4 linked regions of the Danio rerio genome follow. The protein of the gene in region 2 interacts with the protein of the main gene of each other region in a pairwise test. Links are inferred from orthologs where the notes say so. Each region holds a gene or a part of one and is shown on either strand. Other genes may lie near its edges.

What was found.
Region 1: the proteins of apip (region 2) and tnpo2a interact in binary tests that used the Homo sapiens proteins (3 or more experiments, as listed by UniProt). The two-hybrid records come from large-scale screens. The link is inferred for Danio rerio from reciprocal best matches to the Homo sapiens genes APIP and TNPO2.
Region 3: the proteins of apip (region 2) and nudt18 interact in binary tests that used the Homo sapiens proteins (3 or more experiments, as listed by UniProt). The two-hybrid records come from large-scale screens. The link is inferred for Danio rerio from reciprocal best matches to the Homo sapiens genes APIP and NUDT18.
Region 4: the proteins of apip (region 2) and PDZ domain-containing protein 4 interact in a two-hybrid assay, tested with the Homo sapiens proteins (2 studies listed by BioGRID and IntAct). The two-hybrid records come from large-scale screens. The link is inferred for Danio rerio from reciprocal best matches to the Homo sapiens genes APIP and PDZD4.

Annotation. Positions count from the first base shown.
Region 1 is NC_133178.1:17,597,757-17,604,481, reverse strand, and holds part of tnpo2a (transportin-2), read right to left. Parts: intron 5,281-6,725; coding exon 5,147-5,280; intron 5,063-5,146; coding exon 4,981-5,062; intron 4,256-4,980; coding exon 4,133-4,255; intron 3,749-4,132; coding exon 3,630-3,748; intron 3,020-3,629; coding exon 2,959-3,019; intron 2,915-2,958; exon of another isoform or gene 2,846-2,914; intron 2,771-2,845; coding exon 2,599-2,770; intron 1,553-2,598; coding exon 1,400-1,552; intron 854-1,399; coding exon 628-853; exon of another isoform or gene 549-627; intron 355-548; exon of another isoform or gene 1-354. UniProt on the Homo sapiens protein: Probably functions in nuclear protein import as nuclear transport receptor. Serves as receptor for nuclear localization signals (NLS) in cargo substrates.
Region 2 is NC_133182.1:51,744,914-51,750,404, reverse strand, and holds the end of apip (methylthioribulose-1-phosphate dehydratase), read right to left. Parts: intron 3,408-5,491; coding exon 3,359-3,407; intron 3,275-3,358; coding exon 3,157-3,274; intron 3,089-3,156; coding exon 2,953-3,088; intron 2,321-2,952; coding exon 2,153-2,320; intron 2,067-2,152; coding exon 1,967-2,066; 3' UTR 1,939-1,966; downstream 1-1,938. UniProt on the Homo sapiens protein: Catalyzes the dehydration of methylthioribulose-1-phosphate (MTRu-1-P) into 2,3-diketo-5-methylthiopentyl-1-phosphate (DK-MTP-1-P).
Region 3 is NC_133183.1:55,668,142-55,674,866, reverse strand, and holds part of nudt18 (8-oxo-dGDP phosphatase NUDT18), read right to left. Parts: intron 5,694-6,725; 5' UTR 5,684-5,693; coding exon 5,531-5,683; intron 1,916-5,530; coding exon 1,702-1,915; intron 1-1,701. UniProt on the Homo sapiens protein: Mediates the hydrolysis of oxidized nucleoside diphosphate derivatives. Hydrolyzes 8-oxo-7,8-dihydroguanine (8-oxo-Gua)-containing deoxyribo- and ribonucleoside diphosphates to the monophosphates. Hydrolyzes 8-oxo-dGDP and 8-oxo-GDP with the same efficiencies.
Region 4 is NC_133198.1:264,400-270,300, reverse strand, and holds part of PDZ domain-containing protein 4, read right to left. Parts: intron 4,099-5,901; coding exon 2,323-4,098; 3' UTR 1-2,322.

The sequences.
Region 1 (6,725 bases), on a different chromosome or scaffold from region 2:
AGTTAGTCAGGAAATAACATGGAAAAAAACATGTGCCAATGTTCATTGTTGGTTTAAGGCATTTATTTTTAATTTAGTCATTTCTAAAGTTTTATTAAATTGATACTTACCTAAATGTATCTGTTTAATTTGAATTATTTTGAAATGTATGCAATTAAAATACATTTTTACTGTATTTTACAATTAATAATCAATTAAGTTAACATCACTAATTGATTTTATCACAAATGCATCAGCTTAATCAGTTTTAGATCAAAATCAGATTATTTTGGACCCATTTTAGATGTTTAAGTCGATGTTGATGTCCCACCACTCCTTCCAACAGATTATAATATAAAACAGGGGTCACCAATCCTGGTCCTGGAGGGCCGGTGTCCCTGCAGGGTTTAGCTCCAACTTGCTTCAACACACCTGCCTGGATGTTTCAAGTATACCAAGTAAGACCTTGATTAGCTTGTTCAGGTGTGTTTGATTAGGGTTTGAGTTCAAATCTGCAGGACACCGGCCCTCCAGGAACAAGTTTGGTGACGACTGATATAAAATGAAACCTTTTAAGGATAGTTTATGGTTTTAGAATTCAGACATGGTTAAATCAGTCATCAATATCAATGAACAGGTCAAACACACCTGCAGGCAGCCTCTTGAACCTTCTTGTTGCTGTCCAGGATGCGTTTGAGCAGCTCAGTCATGAGGGGCTTGAGGTAGGAGTCTGCCGGCTGACTGACCACCCAGTGTGCGTAGCGGCTCAGAGTCCAGCAGGCGATGGAACGAACCAGTGCCTTCTTATCACAGAGACACTGGACCAGGTGAGGAATCAGCTCCGGCAAGTACAAAACCATATCCTGCATACAGCCTGAAGATAAAAGGAGCAACCATTTCAGATACACTTTTTTAATGACTATTTAAATGGACTTGCATCCTAAGTGAATACATTTAATTTTTCACATTAAATATTATAACATTTAATATATCAAATAGATATTTTATACTTTTAATTGAAGCATTTTATTTAAATATCCATTGTAGAATCCAATATTATAAATCACAACACATTTCAATACTGACAAGAAATGTTTGACTTACAAATAAGAATATAAGGTTGATTCTGAAGAATTGTTTAACCTTGTTTAACTAGGGTTGTTTAATATAGCCATATTTCCATGTATATTTTATGGTGTCATTTCATCATCTTCACAACTAAATAAGCACCGCATTTAGCAAAATTTTTGGATCTTTTTAACAATAGTTTTAAATGGTGACTTAAAGATGCATTCTCGATTATCTTTCCCCATAACTGCTGTACTAAAAGCTAATGATATTTCAAAGAGTCATTTCTGTGCACTTCTCTCCAAACCTATAGTCTTATCAGCGGTCTCATCTTATCCATGGTCTCAAATACCTTCAGCAATGGCTCCCAGCACCAGGATGCCTGACTCTTTCACCACCCAGTCAGGGTGGAACAGCAGTTCCTTCAGCACTGGAAGCAGGTGAGGAAGCAGCTCATCCCGAAACACGTTTGCCAAGACATCAAGAGCAGCTGCTGAACACTTCCCTTCAGAGCAAAAAACACATCTCAGATCAAATCAGATCTTCAGTTACCTTGAGAATCATTTTAACTTTGTTTTGTGGATCAGGCAGTATGAATACTTGAACATCACTGACATTCATGATACAGTTTGTAATCATCTCCACAACAGACACTGATTTTTCTGGGCAAAGATTATTTGCTTTATTACAGTAGTAATGCACTGATTTAGATTTTATGGCAGATTTTTTTTACATTCAAATTGACCCATTTAGATTTTTTCTCTTTTATTTTATACTTCTAAAATATTTTTTTCAATACTGAATTACACTAATATTTTAAAAGGAGTAAAAAAAAAAACAATTTAACTTCAGCTTTGTAAAATGTTGCTCCATAAAACTCGTAGACAGTCTGAATAACACAGATGATCTTTAAAGAAAAAAACGCATACTTTAAGTAGACAACAATTTAAGCAGATCAGAAAATATTTTTAATAAGAAAAAAATGGACTTGCTCAATAGTATTACAACTTTAATGAAAGGTTTTAATCCACTTGTTTCAAATGCTAATTACTATAGTGCACTCTATATCTATAATGAAGCATAGATAATCACTTTTGCTTTAGATAAAGATTTGCACAAATGAAATGTACAAATATCCTGTTACTTTTGGCCCCAAACTTCGAAAAGCTAAAACTCCAACCGATAGTCTAAACGACCCACAAAAGTCTGATCTGTACAATCTTTTTAAGAAAGTTCGAAATGAACAAAAGGTCAATATTTGTTAATGCAGAATATTTTCTGTTTTGCTCTGGGTGCTTGGCCAATCCCTTGCAGCATCTGATTTGCATCTTTGGCTTCTCTAAACCCTGTCCATTAAAACACTTTGTACTACAAAATCACTACAGTGCAGTTTGTATGCAAGTCTGGGAAAAAAATTACAAAATTGAAGCACAAAAAAACAAAAAAATTCTGATTCCAATTTAGGCTACTCAATCAATAAATTGCTACATTACAAAATGGGCAACATTTTTCAAGCAGCAAGTAGTTAGTTTGTCATGGAAAAGCACTCACGTAGATTCCAGTCGGACAGACTGTCATCATCATCGTCGTCATCATCTTCACTGTCCTCTCCTTCCTCCCCCTCATCACCCTCGTGCCGAAGAGTGACCGTACGAGACTTGTGAAAGCGTGGCTTTATGTCCTGCTCATTGTCAGGCACGGCCTCGTCTTCCTCCACATCACCCTAATGGGAAGTAACAGATCAGTGTGATGAAACACGGCTGGGTCAATCGACACTGTAACAACTTAATTAAAGAGCTCAGGTCAGACAGTATGAATACTTGAAAATCACGGAGAACGTCAAGAGAAATTTTATCATCACACCTGAGGCCAAACTGCTTCTAGGAGTTACTATTATCTCCAACAACTAACCTTTAGCAAAATGATGTCAATCTCAGAGTACTTCATGCCGTTGACCAGAACAGGAACCAGTCTAGGAGAGAAGATGAGGTCATACTAAACTTCAGAATATTGCAGATGGATGTGATATTCATTTTATACTCTAAAGACTGATAATAAGTGCATCTCTGACAATAGGGTAAAAATGTGCTAATCAGTTAGCACTCTTTCAGTGTTCATATCTAGCCTTTTAAAATGTGCTGAATGGCTAAATGTTTAAAGAATTTTAGTGAAGCTTTCATGATTCAAACCAAAAACAAAAAAACTAAGAAAATGTCAACAAGTTTTTCTTCATTTTAACAGTCTAATGAAAATCGATTGTAATAATACTAAAACTAATAAAAACAATGCATTACTGAAACTATCATAATAAAACATCCACAGAAGTGTCAACTAATCTGGATTATTATATTTTGATAATATGTATTATATTTTCAGGCAAATAAACAGTCACACAAAAAGACTAGCCAAAGAAATTTGAAAAAAGGTGAATAATTATTCTTAAAAAATATATATATATAAATATTAAAAAAAAAATCATACTAGTCCTTACACAAACTCAGTGTTGAGCAAAGTTTTATGGCTATCGGAGAAAAAAAAATGCATATACTTTCAGTTCTCGTATATGCAAACTGGTCACTTACTGTGCAAGGTGTCCAGACAGGACGTCTTTACAAATGGGCTGTTCAGCCAGTGTAAGCCAGAACTCACAGGCCTCCAGAGACACGTTCTCATCTGGATCCTGTGTGCGCTGCAGCATGTACTGTACAAACAGTCAATATTGTACATATTACAAGGCTGCACATCAAAATCACAAAACGGACTACTGTTTGTAAATTTTACACTTTAAGAGACTACCTAAATATTTAGTTATTACTACCTAAATATGGCACAGTTATAACTACTAAATATTACTACCTAAATATGGCACAGGGTTCATTAAAATTAAAATAAATTAAGCTTCCTGAGTTTCATGATAACTATGATTGGTCTTTTGACTACTGAAAGTTTACCAGTAAAATAGAGTTCAGAAAAATTGAGTAAAAAATGAAAATTAATGGAGTAAAAATATAAGACTAAATGAATCATTTTTTTTTTAAGTACAGATTTTAAAGGGAAACATCTAGACAGTAAGTTTGCTTCTTACCTCAACGATGCTGCGCATGTGAGGAAGGAGTCGATCTACTCGCACCTCCAGCAGCATGACCAGAGCCCGGCACACGTTCTTCCGCACCTCCGAGTCCTCATCTGATGAAAGCGCAAACAGACTCTGCAAACACATGCACACACAGAAATTAAATTAAAACACTGCACACAATCATTAGGGATATCCAATTAATAGACTTTTCTTGACGTTTTACATGAAGTTGTGGTTTGTTTGTTTGTTTTTTGTTTTGTTTGTTTTTTTAAATCAATACACAAAAGTTACTTCATAATTCCTTTACATTTTTTGCTGTTTCTGCTGAGAATTTAGTCAAATTAAAAGCTTAATTAATGTTTGTTAACATGCTTATTTAGATGTTACATGGGCAGTTGCTTCTCTTGAGCAATAAAAAAAAACTATACATTTCATCTAAAAGTAACTAAAATAAATTCCATTTGTTTAAGTAGATGGTAATTATCAGATTGTATAATTTATGAATTTCACAGAATGATGCACAAATAAAGATTCTCCTCAGTAGAAAAAAAACATTGCTCACTTTTGCTCATCTATAATTTGAAATTTCAAAGAATTTTACAGTTGTTTAATTTATAAATAAAGCAGTAATAGCATGGTAACATCCAAAATACTTTATTTGATCAATTAATGATAAGTTGACAATATAAAATTTTTATAGGTATATAAAATACAATAATGACTTAATAACAAAGATTTTTCTGATAAAATCAATTAACAATTATTGTGACATTTGCACTTCATTACATTAAGCGGGGGTTGCTTTAGTAAAACTTTAAGAATGGATATTATTAAATCCATTGCACATGGATCAGTACCTCAATAAAAGTGTCAATGTTGTCCATGAGGGCTTGTGCTCTACTAATGATGAACTGGTTCACACAGGCAACAGCATGAGACCTACAAAACCACAAGAACAACCATTAGATCCTCATTGTATAAAGCGTTTTGTTCCAAGAGAGATGAAGAATCCTCTAAACAAACCTGATCTTGGGGCTGCAGTGTTTGAAGAACTGCAGGAACTTGGGGATCATGATGTTTAGAGGTCGGTTCAGAGCATCACTGTCCAGTAGCTCAGAAGAGTCCTCGCAAATCTTCTGAAGAGCTCCAAATGAGCCCTGGATATTAACAAAGAAAAAAAAAATTTAAATCTCACTATATTTCTGTATTTTAGGGTGTGAGATGCAACAGCACATCTGAAGTGTGGCAGAGGTGACAATATATAGAAATGTCAAATGGACAGTATTTCCTAAATAGCTGTTTTGCAACGGTCATACAGCACAATTCTGCTTATATAGTTAAAGGAAAAAAACATGTTGAATGAAATTGAACAGGACACACTTGATAATTTAAAGGATGTGCAATTAGCAAACGCTATTGAGCAAAGCTGTAATCAAACACCTGTAAACAACTCCCAAAATTTACGTATTGTTGCATTATAAACAAAAGTTAACTGTTTTCATTAATTCAGGATGACTAATAAACACTTGACTGCAGTTATGAAGTGAGTTTGAAGTAAAAACATTTTAAAGCATCACGCAGAGAAAGACAAATTAGTGCCTGAGAGCTCAACTCGTTTCACTTTTGTGGCTTATTGCAAAAAAAATAAATAAATTCTCACTAAAGATAAGACTTGATCTATGTCAAACATCTTAAATAAACTATAGCCTAATAACACTCTAGTGTTGATATTAAACGAATAAATGTTTTTATATATACAAACACTGAAAAAAACTGCTATGTTTAATATTACCATGCAACTGAAAGGGAGGTCGGTTCTGTTTTAATGCACCCATAATCCTGAAATTAAGCTGATGATATATCAATTGGACTTGTATTAAACCTAAATTCAACTATCTGAATTAAGCACTGAGAATCGAATCAATAACCCAACTGAATCAAGAGCTTGTGACTCAAATCAGACATCTGAATCTGTGAACATTACATACTAGGGCTGAACAATATATAGATTAAGCATCAATACTAGGGTATATGCCGAGCTAGTGTTTTTGCCATACTGATAAACTTCCGGTGACCTGTTATTGTGAACTTTTTTCCATTTAATACGGTTCCTTTTACAGCATCGATATTGTAATATAATTTAAATACATTCAGTTAAATAAACTTTGGCATTCATTTAGTTGCTCAAGCGTAAAACGAGACAAAAAGCCGTTTACTCGCATGTGCCCGTCAGAATTGGCAGGCTAGCGCAGAAGCTCCATTGACTATACTGGGGTAAAATAAATGCTCATATTATAAAGACATGGCAGGGGAAATGTTATTTAATACAATGCTTCTTGTACAATCTGAGACCCACTTTATATCAGATATCACTCAGCTAATGGAGATCGCTGATTTTTAAAGAAAACGGACCTTAAACGCGCCGGTTTTTGCATTGGCATACGGTTCGCCCGAAGCGCTTACCAAATAGAGCTACTCAAATCACCAAGTGTATATATATTTATATCGCAGCAAAACAAAATATTGCAATGTCAGATTTTTCATGCAGCCCTTTTATGTACATCTTCAACATTTTCTTATGCAAATGTGTTCAAAAAAGTAT
Region 2 (5,491 bases):
CAGGCAGAAGCAGAACAAAATGGATGGGAGCAAAATATAGCTACATGGATTCCCTCAGATAACGGAGAGTTTCTGTAAGTCCCGACTCTGGCGCAGTGCACTTGTTTTCATATTCCACTGACTCTCAAGCTGTTAAATGCAGACTTACTAAAAATGGCAAATGCAAACATGTTTGAAGTTGCAGAGGGCACTTCCGCAAGATATCTTGTCAAGGCAACACTGCCATCTCTTGGTTATGCTGCATGACAACGCATAATGCTAGATTTACAAACATAATGTGAGGCTCAAACATCTGGCTAGTGCAAACAGTTCCATATGATTCTTTTCTTGAGAAGCTAATCAAAATAGGAAGACTAAATTAGCAGCTGCTGAAAAATTGCAGTTTGGCATTAGAGGATAAAATAATTGTTGAATATATTACAAAGGTACTACAATGGTTATTGTAATATTATTTCAAAATTGCATATTTTAAAAATTATTTTTGTAATCCAAGTGCAGCTTTAGTAATCTATAATTGCAAATATATTACACAAATAATCTTGCTAACCCAACCTCTGATGTGAAGTGCATTTCAATATGAGAAAAAAGGCACCAAATGTAAATTAAAACCACTTTCTATTTAAACATATGCTTATTAACAGGATATAAAAACTGAAGTCAATACCTATACTAATTTAACTGTATATTTAAACCAATCATAGTAATTTGTATTAAAATCAAGTAGCTGCAATTAATGCTAATTATGACATTATGATGCCATTGTTCCCAAGCATCAAAACACCCAAACAAAAACATGACATTCATTAGCATCAGAATGATGACCTTTCTAATCTGCGTTCTTACATTGAATTCTGACATAATACTGACATTTAACTTGGCTTGCGAAATTAAAGGAATATTGTTGTTAAGGTAATTAAATTCAAATTTGATGACTTTGAAAGTGTTTTATCTTAAGGACACCTATGATGAAATACTTTTGGGTGCTGTTTGAACAGAACTGTGTAGGTATAGTGTGTCCACAGTCATATAAAGACAATATAAGTCTCTTTTTAAAATTTCCTGATGTCAAAAAATAGGATCCAAATCCCTCCCATTTTGAGGCCAATCGCAACGTGACGTAAGAGTGCAGTTGCCCACTGAATTGATTGACAGTCCTGTATTAACATGTCTTCGCAGTAACGCGTATAATCATATCAACAAGACAGGATGTGTGCAAAGCAACTGGGATTAAAAGATCTGTTCAGCTCGCTGTGATCATCAATCATCATCAAATGTGATCAAGAATAAATTGTACAAGTTTAATACGTTTTTAAAACAGGGCATGTAAATGAATTACAGCAATTTTAACGTCTTTATGTCCACAGCCCCATATTTGTACAGTAACATAACGGATATCCATGCAGCAGTGAATATTAATGTGTATCCTGTCACACTTGCGTGCAAAAGCAGTGCAAAGTTAAACACACAGTGTGTGTGTCCGCTATATGTGTGCGCATGTGTAACCTTGTGTGACTCATCGTTGCAACTCCACAACAAATACATCAAATAATCATTGGTAAATTTCTTACAGTAGTATTTCTCACAACCGTTAAATCTGAGATCTGCTTCCTTCATGTCTGTCACTGTGCTGTTTATCTGATGTGGCTGAGGCGGAGTTTTAGGCACACTGAGAGGCGTGTGGGAACGGTGGGCAGAGAGAATTCACATTAAATGCACAGGCAACAAAAACAGCTACATTGTGTTCAGAGCTGAAAATTCCAGTATTTCTAAAGCTATAATCAGTAATATGATGGGTGTTTTGAGCTGAAACTTCTGGAGACACAAAAGATTTATCTTAGATCTTGAAAAAAGGATAAAATAGGTGCCGTTTAAATGACAAACACAAAATTGTGAGTTGCATATTTGAGCAATCGCTATAAACACACACATGCGCACACACACAGTTATAGTTTTTTATTATGCAGACTCAAACAATGCCTTTTTCTTCAGTTGGAAAAGCAGAAGGATCCAGACCACTCTGTTTCATCTGCACAGCAATGTCAAACAAGTAGTCATAACATTCACACCTGGAAAACAATAGTGATGTAAAAGATCAATAATGTATGTTTCTACAAAATACAAACAAAGTTGTGCATTGAATTCCCCAGCTCACATTGTCTTTGCTTTCTCCCAAGTCTCTCCCCAGACGTAGACGCCATGTCTGCGGACGAGGACAGCGCAGGAGTCGGGGTACATGTCCATGGCTCGGGCCATCCGCTCCTTCAAGTCTTTCTCCTCTGGGGTGTTTTCAATTATTGGAACAACTAGAGTGTCGTCATACCTGGGTAAAAACACAACACAATAGAAGAAGAGAAGGATATTAGGCGCTGACACATTTTACTTTCAGTTTCTTTTTCCAACCATTTATAAAACACAATTAATGGAATGTTGTCACCTTTTTTATCGTTAAAGAGTTAATATTGCTAATATTTAGATATTTACAGAATTTAAACTATGTTCAAGTCATCCAAATATACATTCAATATACAGCCATATTGCACTGCTATGAGTGTAATTTTGCATTTATACAACAGTTTGATGACATAATCGTGTATATAGAAGAGAATATCAAACACAGCGAGTCACAAAATCCCTTTTGTACAAGGAAACTACTTTCTTCCACCATTCATTCACATCTGCAGCTGTCAGAACATATATGTTATATATGTTGAAAGTCAGTAAATGATTATTATATTAATTAGATTAAAAGAGATTTGGCTTTGGTGCTGAGTAATATAATTTATATACACAATATATATTATTTTAAATCAAGGTAAGTTGTAAAATATTGATATAAAAATGAGATCTTAAAGATTTCAAAGAGGTATCATGTATGTATATGCTTTCATTTGCTTCATTTTACATCTCAAATTTAAAATCGTGTTCATAAAGCATCATAACAGGAACCACAACCTGAAGTTTGTGCCTGAGTTTCCTTTCCGAATCCCCTTAATCATCTCTTGGTGTGTGATACGGAATTCCTTTCCAGGAAACAGGAGAGTTGCCATTACAGCAGACTTTGAGTGCGTGTGAATAACTGCCTGAGCACCTGTGAAAAAGACAAGACGATGTAACACGGTACAGACTAAAAACAGTACATTCTGTGTTGACATGTACCTCTCATAGTGTAGGCGTTCATGAAGAGTGGCGTGCACTGGCTCTTCTTCAGCTTCTTCTGTGGAGGAGGACAACTGATGTCCTTCTCATCAATGTCACACACAAACAAGTCCTCTGGCTACACAGCAGGGGAGTTATAGTTTATTTTAGCATTATTTCATTTTACACAGAAACAACAACATGACTAAATAAAAAACCTTACTTGTATTCTCTCCTTCTGAACACCTGAGGGAGCTATATAAATGTGCTCACTAAAAGAAGAAACAAATAGTCAGGTCAAGACTTGACAAACAATCAATAATCAGCTCAAAAACTAAACTGTGCATTAGAATTGAATCAAGACATCTAAAACCATGTCAAAAACTGGTATTCATTTAAAATAATGTCTGTATTGTTATTTACAGTGTACATGAAAATTTGTCAAAATAATGTCATGTTTAAAGACATGTTAAAATTCACTCTAAGACAATATAATACCTAATGTTTTAACTTTGCTACTTAGCTACTTTACTCCTTAACTTGACTACTTAGATAAACATTTTAATTAAACAATAAAGTCAAATTTGAGAGTTTTTTGGACCCCTTTAAGACCAATAAAATGAAATTTTAGACTAATATTGTTTTTAATACTGTTTATTACCAGGAATATCATGAAGAACATATATTTATATTTTGTTTTCTTTTATTTTTTAAATGGGGAATTTGCTGTAAAAATGTCTAATAGCTGTTGTGAATTGTATCTCCTTGCAATAAAAAAAAAATGTAAATAAAAAACAAATAAGGTTTTATTGAGATGGATTGTTGGTGATTGGATAAATGCCAGCCCAACTGAGTAGCTTTACCTGGACAAAGCCAAATAAAGACCTGTTTAAAATGATTTACGACCCAAAACAAAATATTTCAATGAATTTAGGTCTTAAAAAAGTCTTAAATTCACTGAAATATTGAGTTGTAGGTCTTAAATCATTTTAAACCGATAATTTGATAATAAGCTCATCTTGTTCATCAAGGCTGCATTTATTTCATCAAAAATACAGCACAAATTGTAAAATTGTGAAACGTTTTTGCAGTATAAAATAACTAATCAAAAGTAGTTTATCATTTAATTTAATAATTTATTCCAGTGATTTTAAAGATTTTTAGGTTCATTACTTCAGTCTTCAGAGTCTCGATCCTTTAGAAATCACTCTAATATTAATTATTATTATTACAATTATTATTATAAATGTAAAAGTAATAAAAACAACAATGACTAGAGTAATAATTTCATTTGAAACTACATTAAATAAGAAAGCAGTTATTAAAAATGTTTAATACATACTTAACTTTTTTTTTTTACATTTAATAAATGCTGCATTGATGAGTTTATTTTATAAAAGCTAACCCCAAACTTTTGGCCCGTAGTGTGTGTGTGTGTGTGTGTGTGGATTGCTGTCTTAAAATTTGATCATCAATCATACAGACAGACTTCAAACATAATACAAAAAAAAAAAAAACTTATGGCTTTGATAAAAATATATATATAAAAAAAATCCTACAAACACAAGAGTTTGCAATTTCTCACCATAATGCAAACATATAATAAATAAAACAATATTTAATATTTTAGACTTCTGAGATAAAGAACAGTAATCATATCATATTCATATCAGGGATGCAGCATTGCCATAATGCAGAAAAAAAAAAAACTTTTATTTTTTTCTTCCAATAATGTGATTTAATAAAAAAATAAAATAAAATAAAACAACGTCTATAAAATAATAAATATCGTCAGGTAAACGAAACATATTATATTTAGTAGTCATAGTACTTTAAAAGTAAAGTTAAACGGTAAAGTAAGCTTTTCAGTTGCAGTAAAAGTGGTTTTATATTTGCGCATTTTGGCTTTCTTCTAAATAATACAATTTCAAAATATTACTGTCGCCTCACAGCAAGAAGGTTCGAGTCCTGGCTGGGTCAGTTGGCATTTCTGTACGGAGTTTGCATGTTCTCCCTGTGTTGGTGTGGGTTTCCTCCGGGTGCACCGGTTTCTCCCATAGTCCAAAGACATGTGGTATAAGTCAATTGAATCCGCTTGTCAAGTGATGACGTGTTTGTGACGTATGTAATACTGTTTCCAGGTCCAAGCCGCCATTCATTTGAGTGGAGAAATTATTCGTTTATGATCACGTTTTATTCCTATCACACATTAAAGTTAATTTTATATAAAATCATAGTGTACACAATCTCTGGGCTTGCTGCATAACAAATACCCAAAATTTAACAATTTTACAAAAAAATTATTCACTTTCTGGCCATCGGATATTAGGCATGGACATATATATTGCGATCATGT
Region 3 (6,725 bases), on a different chromosome or scaffold from region 2:
AATTTAAAAATGAAATTTTAAATACATGAAGAGTTTTATTAGGGAAAAGCTGTTGAGCGCAACAAAATATAGCCTATATTTTATTACTTGCTCTTATGTGCTGAAATGCTTAACACTTTCCTTTATTTAAGATCACAGAATAATGTGCAACTTCCTTAAATGAAGGGGAATCACCTATTAAGTGTCATATAGCCTATAGGGAAAAATGAATATGTTTTAGGTCTCTCCGGAGCATTTGGGCTGAATGTTTGACGACGTCTATCAAAACGAGGATGTTATAAAATACACTTCATACCGAGTTATTAACAGAGAATTTCTGTGGTTTTATATTTTGGATGGGTGCACTCACTGCGCTGGGTTCCTCCGTTAGTGGCAAGACCGCTCGAAGTTCGAAGCCAACGGTCTGTCGGCGAGTACGTGTATATGATGAATAAGAACACACAGGCCTGTGTGTATAGACATATAATGTTATGCTGTACTGTAACGTGTCATTTGTTTGTTTTAGTACTAGCCCGACAGTGGAAACGCCATGTGATTTCGGCCTCACTACTCAACCTCCCGGGCGATTGGCCTGGCTCGATAAAAGCCCTGGCCCGACAGTGGAAATGCGGCTAGTGACATGTGAAACTAGTAACAAGGGCTTGCGTTTCCAGTCTTCTGGCTAAAAGTGAAGTGTGACTGCAGTTTGACACCATGTGCTAACTACATGAGGTGCCACTACACGGCATCATCAAACTATGATTTTGTTTGTTGTGAATACACACCCTCTAGTGGCGAAAATGACATACTGTGCATTTAAACAACCCATTGTAAACAACATTAATTGTAAACAACAATAAAACCCATTGTAAACGAATTAGGGCTGCAAATCACTATGGGAAAATGTCAATATTAAGTATTTTTAAGCCATTTTGCGACATCAACTTTAATTTCGAAATAATTTCTGCCTCCCAATCCGAATACTATCCGTCCTAAATAGTATTTGAAAATAGAATTAGTATGTCCCATGTTGTAGTATGTTGAAATAAGTATGCCAAAGATTCCCTGATGGTTTACTATTTCCGGTAAAAATTTAAGTGTTGAAGCATCCATATTCTAACCTCTGATTCTGCCTATAGTACATTGCGCGTTGGATATAAAATCGTTTAGAAATACAAAACCCGAGTGAAAAGTGTAAACAAACTACAAACATGAGGGACGGGCGAGACCAACTGTCAAGTAGAGAGGCTTCGGTAAAGATGTTTGTATGACTGGTAATCAATGTCTAGCCAACTGGAAAATATTTAAATTGTGTTTTTTGTGTTATTTCATCTGCAACAACAACAATGTGAACTTATATCAAGATATGTTTGGACATATCTTCTGAATGCATAATTACCCAAAGACCTGAGGAGATTTCTCAGCATGAAAGACTCGTGAATGGCAGATTATCCTGCTGCTGCTTCTCCAATAAGGTAGGCAATTAAATATGACAGAAATATGGATGATGTGTGGATGATTGACAGGGCTCATAACTAAGCAGCACAACGATCTGTTAACGAGGAAGTAGTATGCCCCGAAGCTTGCATACTCTTCTGTTACACACTCAAAAGTATATACTTTTCCTTCACAAAAAAGTACATACTTTTAGGGCGTAGTTTAAGTATTCGATTTGGGACACAGCAATAGTGTGCAACTCCACAATCAACCATTCAATCTAACCTGTTTCCTCAGCAAGGAAGATGAAGCGAACCCATCTGGGCCCTTGCTCTTGCACCAGCAGCAGTGTGATTGGCTGACAGTCGATTCCCGCCTCCTCTCTGACCTCCCTCTGCAGTGCCTCTAGAATGCTTTCACACTCCTCCATGCGACCCGCAGGGAGGTACCATCTGCCGTAACACTCTCTCTTTGCCTCCTGTACCATCAACACTTCCTCCTGTACAACACAAGCAAACACAGATGATGTCTTGAGAGGCTGATGAGCATCACGGCTAGTAAAATGAAGAACACAGATGAAATAAATACACAAATGGATTATATATACACAAGTGGGCAGCGTTTTAATTTATACAAGTAATTGACCCTTCGCTAAGCTTTACATAATTCATTAATAGAAAGAGCAGCCAGAAAGGGGAAATTGATGGATTTGTCAAGAATATTAGCATCATTGACCCATAAAAATGTAAAGTAAGTTACCTATAACTGTCAGTGCCCTGTTGAAAAATCCAGCTTAAACCAGCCTAGGCTGGTTGGCTGGTTTTAGCTGGTCGACCAGGCTGGTTTTAGAGGGGTTTCGGCCATTTCCAGGCTGGTTTCCAGCCATTTCCAGCCTGGTCTTAGCTGGCCAAGCTGGGAGATGACCAGCTAAAACCAGCTTGACCAGCCTAGCCAAGCTGGGAGTCCAGCCAAAACCAGCTATATCCAGCTTAAACCAGGCTAGTCAAGCTGGTTTTAGCTGGATTTGGCTGGTCATTTTCCAGCCTGACCAGCTAAGACCAAGCTGGAAATAGCTGGAAACCAGCCTGGAAATGGCCAAAACCCCTCTAAAACCAGTCTGGTCAACCAGCTAAAACCAGCCAACCAGCCTAGGCTGGTTTAAGCTGGATTTTTCAGCAGGGTGTGTTTGTGTGCTCTTTATAAATTAATGAAGAACAGCTGCTGGTGAAGTATATTGATCGCAAGTGCCCAGTTTGTGATTATATCTGTTTTGTTCTGTTGATTTGTAATTTGAAATATTCGTAGCTTGAAATAGATGGAAATATGACGTTCAGTAAAGTTAGCATCAGATTTGTATTTTCCGGATCAATAACTCATGAATATAACTCATTGGTATGCCTACTATGGCGAGGGCTTAAACAGAGTGCTCATAATATCGAGCGGAAAAAAAAGACAGCTGTGAAACATAATCTGCTTTGTATTTATGCTGGAAACACAGTTTAAATCTGTTTAGGGTAAGAGGTGTGTGAGTGATTGTCGTCGGTCTATCACTGAATGTGTCAGGAATATCAAAACAAAAACCAACTTAACTCCACTTCTTTAGCACCCCTCACAGAGCTTGATCCACGCTGGCATTTTCCCCTAGAGTTTTTGGTTTTAAAAAGTGAAAAAAAATTCCCTGCGCGTAGCTACGGTTGCTAAGCCACGATTGGTGGGTGGCGGTTTTTGGGTGGGGTTTAGCGAAGGGTCAATTAACAAACAAATCAGAAAGAGTTGAGAATATGTGTCAGTTGGTAAAATTGGCATCATGAATTAGGGTTATGACTAAGAGTTGAATGGCATTTTGAGAGGCCAATAAATTTACACCGCTATTCACCTTATTCTCCGCCGACTTATTCGCTGCCATTTGACTCTTTTTGGCTCGCGACCTCCGGTCTTATTCACTTCTATTCATTTTTTGCTGTTAAAAACTGCTCGTTACGCTTCTTGATGTTGCAATTTGATATTTTCTTGTTATATTATTCTACTTGGTCTGTATAGTCATGCAAACATTTGTTTGTAGAGCAAGTAGTTTGACCGTTTTCTGCCGTTTATTTTTCCGACTCATTTCTCCCATAGGTGACTGAATCGGAAGTTCTAAGACAATCGCGATAACAGGCGCACTTCCGCATTTTAGAATAAGGTCAATAAAAACTCTACACTGACTACTTGTTAGTGTGTCAACGTGTCATTTCTGCAGTGTTGTCCTATGAAAAAAATTTCAATAAATATTTGCAGAACTGTGAGGCGTGTACTTACTTTTGTGACATACTGTATATCAACAACTTTGAGGCTATTTTGTGAAAAGATCAATTAAGATAAAAAAGCCCGATATTACCAAGGCCAGACAGATTCTGCAGACTTTTTGGCTATTTATTTGCACAATTTTGTAAAGAAAAAGAAAAGAAAGAAAGAAAAGTTTATATTATATTTTTTATTATATTAAATAATTATTAAATATTTTTAATTAAAGTTTACAATCAAAATCAAATGTGCTATTTACATGCTGAATTATAATTTTCAGCCAGGCAGGGCTTCCTGTTTTTCCTGTGAACTGTTTTTCTCTTACAAAATTGTCAGGTTTAAGATCTGATTTCTTTAAAAATCAGCGATCTTCAGTGCCTGTTAGATAAACGATATGAAGTGGGTCTCATATCGGGCTAAAAGCACTGCATTAAATTCCATTTCCCCCCACCATGTCTTTGTAATATGACAGTTATTTTACCCCAGTATTTTCATAGGAATTTCCATTTCCATTTTCAAACAGTCTTTCTCATTTTACGCTTGAACAACTAAATGAATGCTTAAGTCTCATGTATTGTAATTAAATTACAACATTGAGGCTGTAAAAACAACATTGTGAAATTGAAAATAGTCACATTAAGCTTTCACCGGAAGTTTATCGTTGGCTTTAAAACTCTAGCTGTGCATACAGCCCATTAGAAGCACTTGTATGGTAAACAAAGCTACAGCAGGTCTGTCATATAATGCATCCACTAAAATACAAAAATATTTACAAATTATTTTGTCCATAAATTATTTAAATATTTGCAAATTAGGCAATGATATTACTTAAATCACTATTAAAGACTCAGATAAACTTATAAACCTAATACACGCATTGACATAAGAAAATAAATAGATTGAAAGTTGGCTGAAATTTTTGTAGAAATCTGTAGATGACACAAAAGAAATCATTAAACTCTACATTAAAAACAGGACAAATTTTCTGTCAGATATGTAATAATTTCATGTTTTTTTCTGGGAGACATTTTTAAAGTCATCCATCAAAGATTTTGTCTTGCAGTCTTTAAAACTTCACATTCTAACAAAATCTATATTCTGTTAAGGAAAGCTTTACAGTGCCTACATGTTGATGGTGCATCGCTCTTCAATAAATGAGCCAACCTAGAGTGAGCAATTCGACATCTAGTATATACAGTTTAGTCATGCTTTCAGCTGCTTTCAAAACTAAAATGATTAAAGCATCTGTCTTCTATGCTCGGATTGATCTTTTGCAATTTGTTATTTGAACAGCTGTCCGATTCCACTTGCCATTTTTCTTATTTGTACAAAATAACTTTAGGTTTCAGATCGGAGGAAGGAACTAAATATTCTGTCACTTTACGAGAAATTGCTTTTTTTGCTGTCTCGTCTGCAGTTCATTACCACAAAGACTCCATAAGTCCTGAATTTTTTTAAAAGGAAGTCCTCAAAACCCATTGAAATTTTAAGAATATTAGGTTTTCTTGTGGATTATATATGAACAGGACACAAATACTGTATGTGCATCCCAAAACATTCCTGAATGAGAATTGCATTAATCTTTTGTTCATTTTTGTTCATTATTAATCTATTTTCAAACCTAACTTGGTTTGAAATATCTTTCAATATTTAGATCATGGTCACATGACCAGTATGTAAATAAAGTACTGAGAATAATTCTTGAACACTGGCATACTGTAAATTAAGCCACATTGACTGTGCTGCCTTCAGTTTCATTCCTTGCTACCAAACAGTCTTGTTCCAGTAAATAGACAACACTCACATGCAAGAACAACAACACCATCTTTACCTTTGAATTGAAAATGACTGCGCCGACAATATAACACACGTTCTTCCTCAGTGTGACTGGGTCCACTTGTTCAGCGACTGAATCAAACTCGAGACCCTCACCCCTCAAAATCTTCTCCAAGTTCTCCTCCAGAATCGATGACTGCGAGTCCATGGCGGAGCTGCTTTAATTTGACAACAGAATGGAATTAATATCATCGTCAAATAAAGAGGCTGCCAAGAAGAGTCAGTTTTATTACAGTAAAAATACACTAGCCGGCCACTTTATTAAGTACACCTGTCAAAACTGCTGGTTAATGCAAATTTCTAATCAGCCGATCACATGGCAGCAACTCACTGCACTTAGGCATGTAGACATGGTCAAGACGATCTGCTGCAGCTCAAACCGAGCATCAGAATGAGGAAGAAAGCTGATTTAAGTGACTTTGAATGTGGCATGGTTGTTTATGCCAGACGGGCTGGTCTGAGTATTTCAGAAACTGCTGATTTACTGGGATTTTCACACACAACCATCTCTAGAGTTTACAAAGAATGGTCCGAAAAAGAGAAAAAGTCCAGTGAGCGGCAGTTCTGGGACGCAAATGCCTTGTTTACATCAGCAGTCAGAGGAGAATGGCCAGACTTGTTCCAGCTGATAGAAAGGCAACAGTTTAGTTTATTTATTTATTTAGTTTATTTATTTATATAGCACATTTTGTACAACACAACGTTGCCCAAAGTGCTGAACACAATCAATACTAAAAATAAAATCTACATCACACACATAGCAATTAAAACATAAGGCAAACCCCTCAACATTAAAAAGGCTCAAATACTAGAGAACAAAGATGGCGTTTCAAATGCTTTTTAAAAACAGGTAGAGTTGGAGCATGTCTGATGTGGGAAGGAAGCCCGTTCCAGAGTTTTGGGGCGACAACAGCAAAAGCCCGATCCCCACTCCGCTTACACCGGGACCTTGGTATAGATAGAATAAATTCATCAGAAGACCTCAGTTACCTACCAGGATTGTATACATGTAGCAGGTCTAATAAGTAAGATGGTGCCAGATCAATCCGTGACCTAACAGGCAGCCAGCCCAGAAAGGAAAGAACTGGGGATATGTGTGCAAACTTGCGAGTCCCTGTCAGAAGTCTCGCAGCCGCATTTTGTACTAATTGCAATCTATTTAGGGCATTTTGACTAATACCCACATACAG
Region 4 (5,901 bases), on a different chromosome or scaffold from region 2:
TCACCAGATTAACATCAGTCATCTGCACTAACAGTCATCATGATACTGCACTGGAAGAAACAATGATAGGATCAGAAATCAACGACAGCACACAGTTGAAGACCTCCTGTGTATTTTCTAATCATAATAACTTGCTTAATATATGGTAATCAGGGTTCAAGCTTATTTTCATTTATGCAAATTAGTTCTACATTTAATTGCTGTGAGTTGAAGTAACTCGTAATGTTATTTTGACTCAACTTAAATCTTTGGATGTGATCAAGTGTGATGAATACCTGTTGAGTGAAGGTTTACCAACACATTTTGTGATCAGATTGATTCAAGCCTACAGTAAATAGAGCGATTTCACCCGACTACCTTATCTTCTTTCTGGAAGAATCCCCGCTTTCAGCCCATCTCCCTCTTTCCTCCTTTACCAGGGGGAGCTGTCGGCACCTGCCTGCTCTCGGACCCCCTTATATGCTTATTGACCTGGAGAGACCTGGGCTCAGTTATCTCAGAGCTCAAGGTTCTCTCCCAGATAAGCATGCAGAACCTGCAAGATCTTAGCGTGAACTCTTGAACTAATAATAGGAGTGGTGTGAATATGCAGAGCGGTGGAGTGAAAGGACTATAAGAAACCGGTTTATACAACAGAATGTTGATTGCTCGGTGTGCTTTATTTCCTGATCATTAACACGTCTTTGATCAGGGGTGATCACGTTTGGTCCCGGAGAGGATGCTCAGGGTGTGAAGATCACCTCCTTCAGTACTGTTAGCTTGAGTCGTACATGCTTCAGTGAATCAAACTGATGCGTTTATTTCATTTAAATCTCATTTATTAATAAAACATGTTGAAGTGTTTTGTGGGATATTCAGTGTGTTCTGACTTATATTAGCCTCTGATTAGCTGTTTCAGAGGTTTCTGTAGGTCAAACTTTGCTTCTAATTGGACTGCTTGTAGGCTCAATGTAGGAATAAACAAGTGAAGACTTGCGGTGTTAATCAGTGCTGCCAGTTTCAGACTAATGAAGGATTTTTCTCTCATGTTGACTGATTGGCATGATTATGCACTCAAGGGTATGAACCGTTACAGGGGAGGTCACATGTATATCTGTTATCTATTATTTCTGTTTGGGGGCGAAACAGTGGCGCAGTAGGTAGTGCTGTCGCCTCACAGCAAGAAGGTCACTGGTTCGAGCCTGGGTCAGTTGGTGTTTCCGTGTGGAGTTTGCATGTTCTCCCTGCATTCGCGAGAGTTTCCTCCAGGTGCTCCGGTTACCCCCACAGTCCAAACCCATGTGGTACAGGGGAATTGGGTGGGCTAAATTGTCTGTAGTGTATGAGTGTGTGTGAATGAGTGTGTATGGGTTTTCCCAGAGATGGGTTGCAGCTAACCATATGCTGGATAAGTTGGCGGTTCATTCCGCTGTGGCGAAAATGAATAAATTAGTGAATTTCTATTTGTTTATTAATTTTCCTTCAGCTTAATCCCTTTATTTAATAGTGGTCGCCACAGCGGAATGAACTGCCAACTATTCCAGTATATGTTTTACACATCGGATGCCCTTCCAACTGCAACCCAGTACTGGGAAACCCCCATACACACTCACACACACACACACTCATACACTACGGCCAGTGTAGTTGATCAGTTCCCCTATAGCGCATGTGTTTGGACTGTGGGGGAAACTGGAGCACCCGGAGGAAACCCACACCAACACGGGGAGAACATGCAAACTCTACACAGAAACACCAACTGACCCAGCCGAGACTCAAACCAGCGACCTTCATGCTGTGAGGCCACAGTGTAACCACTGCGCCACCGTGCCGCCATTATTATTTCCATTATTAAGAAACAGATCAGATCAGATTTCTCACTCGGCTGACCCTGCATGCATCTTGTTTGACGTCGTTTAAAGGGGAATCAAGCATTAATCAGAGGATCGATCCCCCAAACCCTCCTGTAATTCACACTCTGGTTTTACTCCTTATTAAGCTTTTTGTGTGTGTCAACCTAAAGTCTGGATCTCCAGGACTAAACTAGCCCACCGCTTCATTCATCTGACAAGTCTTTGTGAATGAATGTTTTGATCCAGTGAGATGCTCCAGATCCTCAGCGCTGGATTGTAACAGTCTCGAGTGTGACTCAAACTCAAGCATTAAAGCCATTTTTACAAACAGATTATGAAAACAGGTACATTCATTCTGCATTCGGCCCTGTGTTTGCCATGTTTATATCCACCATCAATGTTTCTGGAGTATTCCTCTAGGCATCTTCATCAGACTTGGCTAAACTTTGCAGTCATCTCCACTCTTACTTCATTAGAGTCTGGCTGTCGATCAGACAGTGGTCACGGAGAGCAACGGGTTGTAGACTTTCTTCCCATCCACAGAGCTGGATCCATGAGCCAGCAGCTCCTGAATGGTGATCCAGTTGTCCAGGATGCGTCGGCTGCGCTTCTTCATGCTCTTCTTCTGGCTCAGCTCCAGTATGGAAGCCTGTGGTCCGGAGTCTTGCTCCTTTTCTTTCTCCCTCAAGAAGTCCAGTCGACTCTGCATCATGAACTCCCGCCGTCTCCGATGTTCCCGGGCTCTCAGCAGCTGCTGCTTGCGCTCCTCTTTGCTCCAATATCTCCCCATTTTCATTTCGCTCACCGCGTCATCGTCTGTGGTCATCCCGCTGCGCTCCTCACGAATCTTCATGGCACGAGCCTTCAGCAGACGATCTCTTACAGGGCGTTTAGCCACGTACCTTGAGCCATCGCTGCGGATCTTCACCTTCCACTCCATCCTAGGTGAAGATGGAGGTGGGATATTCACGGCAGTAGCAGTGGTGTCTTTATTAGCAGTAGGTGTCGTGCTGGAGTGAGCAGGATCTTCTTCAGTATTCCCGTCATTGATGGTCACATCTCTCAGTTGCATGCAGCTCTGGTAGCGTTGAGGCAGTGTGGTGCTGCAGTGCCGGCGGGACAGATATGGGCTGTTTTCAGCACTCCGTCCCCCTTTTACTACCCCACTAGCTCCATTAGTGTGGGATCCCCTTCGCGGTCCATCCAAACCCTTCCTACCGCCGCCGTTCCTAACCCTTGCTGCTGGATTTTTGACGTCCCCCAATTCTTCGCTCTTTTTCTTGACGTCTGCAGAGTTTGGATTCCTTTCCCTTGTTTTGTGACGTGGCGTCCGAGGCCGCATGGTTGCAGAGGCACTGGAGTCTCCAGCTGCGGACAGCGAAGGGTTTCGTTCGCTAGCCAGAGGTGTGCTCCTACAGCTCTCCCCTCCAGTGTTATATGCGCTTGTGCTTTCCTTATCAGAACGCTCCCTTTCTGGGATCTCGTTGATATCCGAGAGGTCATGGTGGATTGATTCTGCGCCTCCACATCTTGCCTTTGCTCCTTTGTCTTCATCGTCCTCTTCATCAGCAGGCCAGACCTTTAAGCAGCGTTGGCGCAACTGCTGCATCTTCTGTGCGCGCAAGACATTGCGCCATTTAAACTCCAGATGTCGTATTTCCTCATCCAGAAGAGCGATTTCGTGCTGCATCAAACTCTCGTTGCAGTTCATATCGACAGGGATGCTTCCCCCTGCAAAGTCACACTGGTTTCTTCCATCCAAATACAGAAGTGCGTTTCCGTTCTTCTCGTAAAGGCAGCGGATCTCCAGAAGCTCTCGGTAGCGTTCGTATTCTTCTTCGGTTAACCCCGGCACTTTGCTTGCTCCCAGTGATTCAGGAGCTCCGTGGTCCACCCCATCTGGTCCCAGTAAAGAGTCATTGCTGTAGTGGAACTCAAACCCATGCTGAGCCGCTTTAAACTTGCGCAGGCTGCCCGGCGTGTTGGTGGCGTTGGTGGTGCATGCACTGGTGGCATCTTCAGCCAGTTCTGAGGACTCTTCGCAGCGTGTGCTCTCATCCGTGCGGCCCACACCGCTGTCCAGCTCCTGGCTGTTATTGAGGGCCGTGTGCCACAAATTCGGCCGATTAGCTCGAATCCCGCTGACGTCACTCAGCAGGGAGCTGGCTTTGCTGCGGTGGTGTGGGCTGGGCACGTTTGAGGCGTTCTCCAAGTCCTCCAGATCCAGGCCCATGCCCAACTCTAGATCCAGATCATCAGCCTCATTCTGTTTGAGTTGTAGAAGAAAGAGAACATATAAATTAGGCAAACCATTTCAAGACACTTGCAGAATCACTGTACTTCTGTCTTTACAGGGCTGTTCTGCACAACTGAAGAGATCTTCACCCTCCTGTATAGATTTGTCCTTAATTTCTGTTTAACAGGGAGCAGATCCACAATCATACAGTCTCAGAAATAAAGCTACGCGAGCTGTCACTGGGGTGGTACCTTCTCAAAAGCTACACATTTCTACTTAAAGGGTCCATATTGGTACCTGAAAGGAGTATATTAGTACCTAAAATTTTCAAGATGTACATATTTGTAATTTTTAGGTACTAATACGTACCCATGAGGTATTAAATATGGACCTTTTAGTTACACGTTTGTACCATGGCTTTGCAATCAATAAATGTGATTCTAATGGAAGTCATTGGGCCAACAAAGCACCAACGTAATCACAGGGGAGACACTCAATTGAGTGCAAAGGAGCTAATATCTGAATAATCAACAGCAAAAAGAAACATGCAGGACCTCAGATGTCCCGTGGTGAGCAGCAGAGGGCAGTGTGCATCTCACTAAGCTCAAGCTCTGCTACTCTGACTGACTTCAGGTCTTTCCCATCTGTTGTTCTAGACAATCAAACCTGAGGTTCCTCCAAATGAGCCACCACCTGTGCTGGGGAATACACGGGCCCACGGGCCCACACACCATCTGGACCTTCCCTAAAACACACCACCACACACACACACTTGTGTGCTACTGACCCCAAATCTGAAACAGCACAGTTTCAGTGACAGTTTGCAAAATTACCCTTCAGTGTTCAGATGTTGTTAGTCCTGTATGTGGTGTTATTTGGTTTGTATATGAGGCACACTTCTGTATCTGATGTATTTCTGTATGAACATTGAATATGGAGTGGCATGGTGGCGCAGTGGTTAGCACTGTGGCCTCACAGCACTTAAGACGCTGGTTTGAGTCTCGGTTGGGTCAGTTGGTGTTTCTGTGTGGAGTTTGCATGTTCTCCCCGTGTTGGTGTGGGTTTCCTCCGGGTGCTCCGGTTTCCTCCACAGTCCAAACACATGTGCTATAGGGGAACTGCTCAACTATACTGGCCATAGTGTATGAGTGTGTGTGTGTGTGTGTGGGTGTTTACCAGTATTGGTTTGCGGCTGGAAGGGTATCGCTTTTTAAAACATATGCTGGAGTAGTTGGTGGTTCATTCCGCTGTGGTGACCCCTGATAAATAAGACACTAAGCTGAAGTAGGATGATTGACTGTAGAATATGATTAAAGCGTTGTACATATGCAGATGTATCTCACTGTTGATTGAGTTGCTTTATTAAACACATATTGGCATGTGCACACTGCCGTCCACTGATGTGATTATTATATGCAAATGAGCTGTGTTTTCCGAGATCCTGATTTGCTCGCGCAGCTTCATGTCAAATGGCATCAAGCTAAATGAAGTTTGTGAAGGCCTCAGACGTCGCCGCATGTTGACTCGGTCTATTTGTATTCATGAACTAGTTCTTCCTTCGGGGGGTTGCATTATGTTTTATTTAAATATTCACCGGTGGGATACGGACTGTTGCTATGGCTTCCACATGGGCTAAAGATGATGAATAGGGCTGTTTAAGCAAGTTGGCAGCCGATGGGGTTTGTCCCCAATCAATGAAGACTCCAACTGAAACACAATGATCTGCATCTTCTCTTGACTTCAGCACACTCACTCTCCTGCTCTCTGTGCTGTGTGGTGCTTCATCAAACATGAGAGCTCTGCATGACTGCTGTATCCTGCTCAAGATGACCT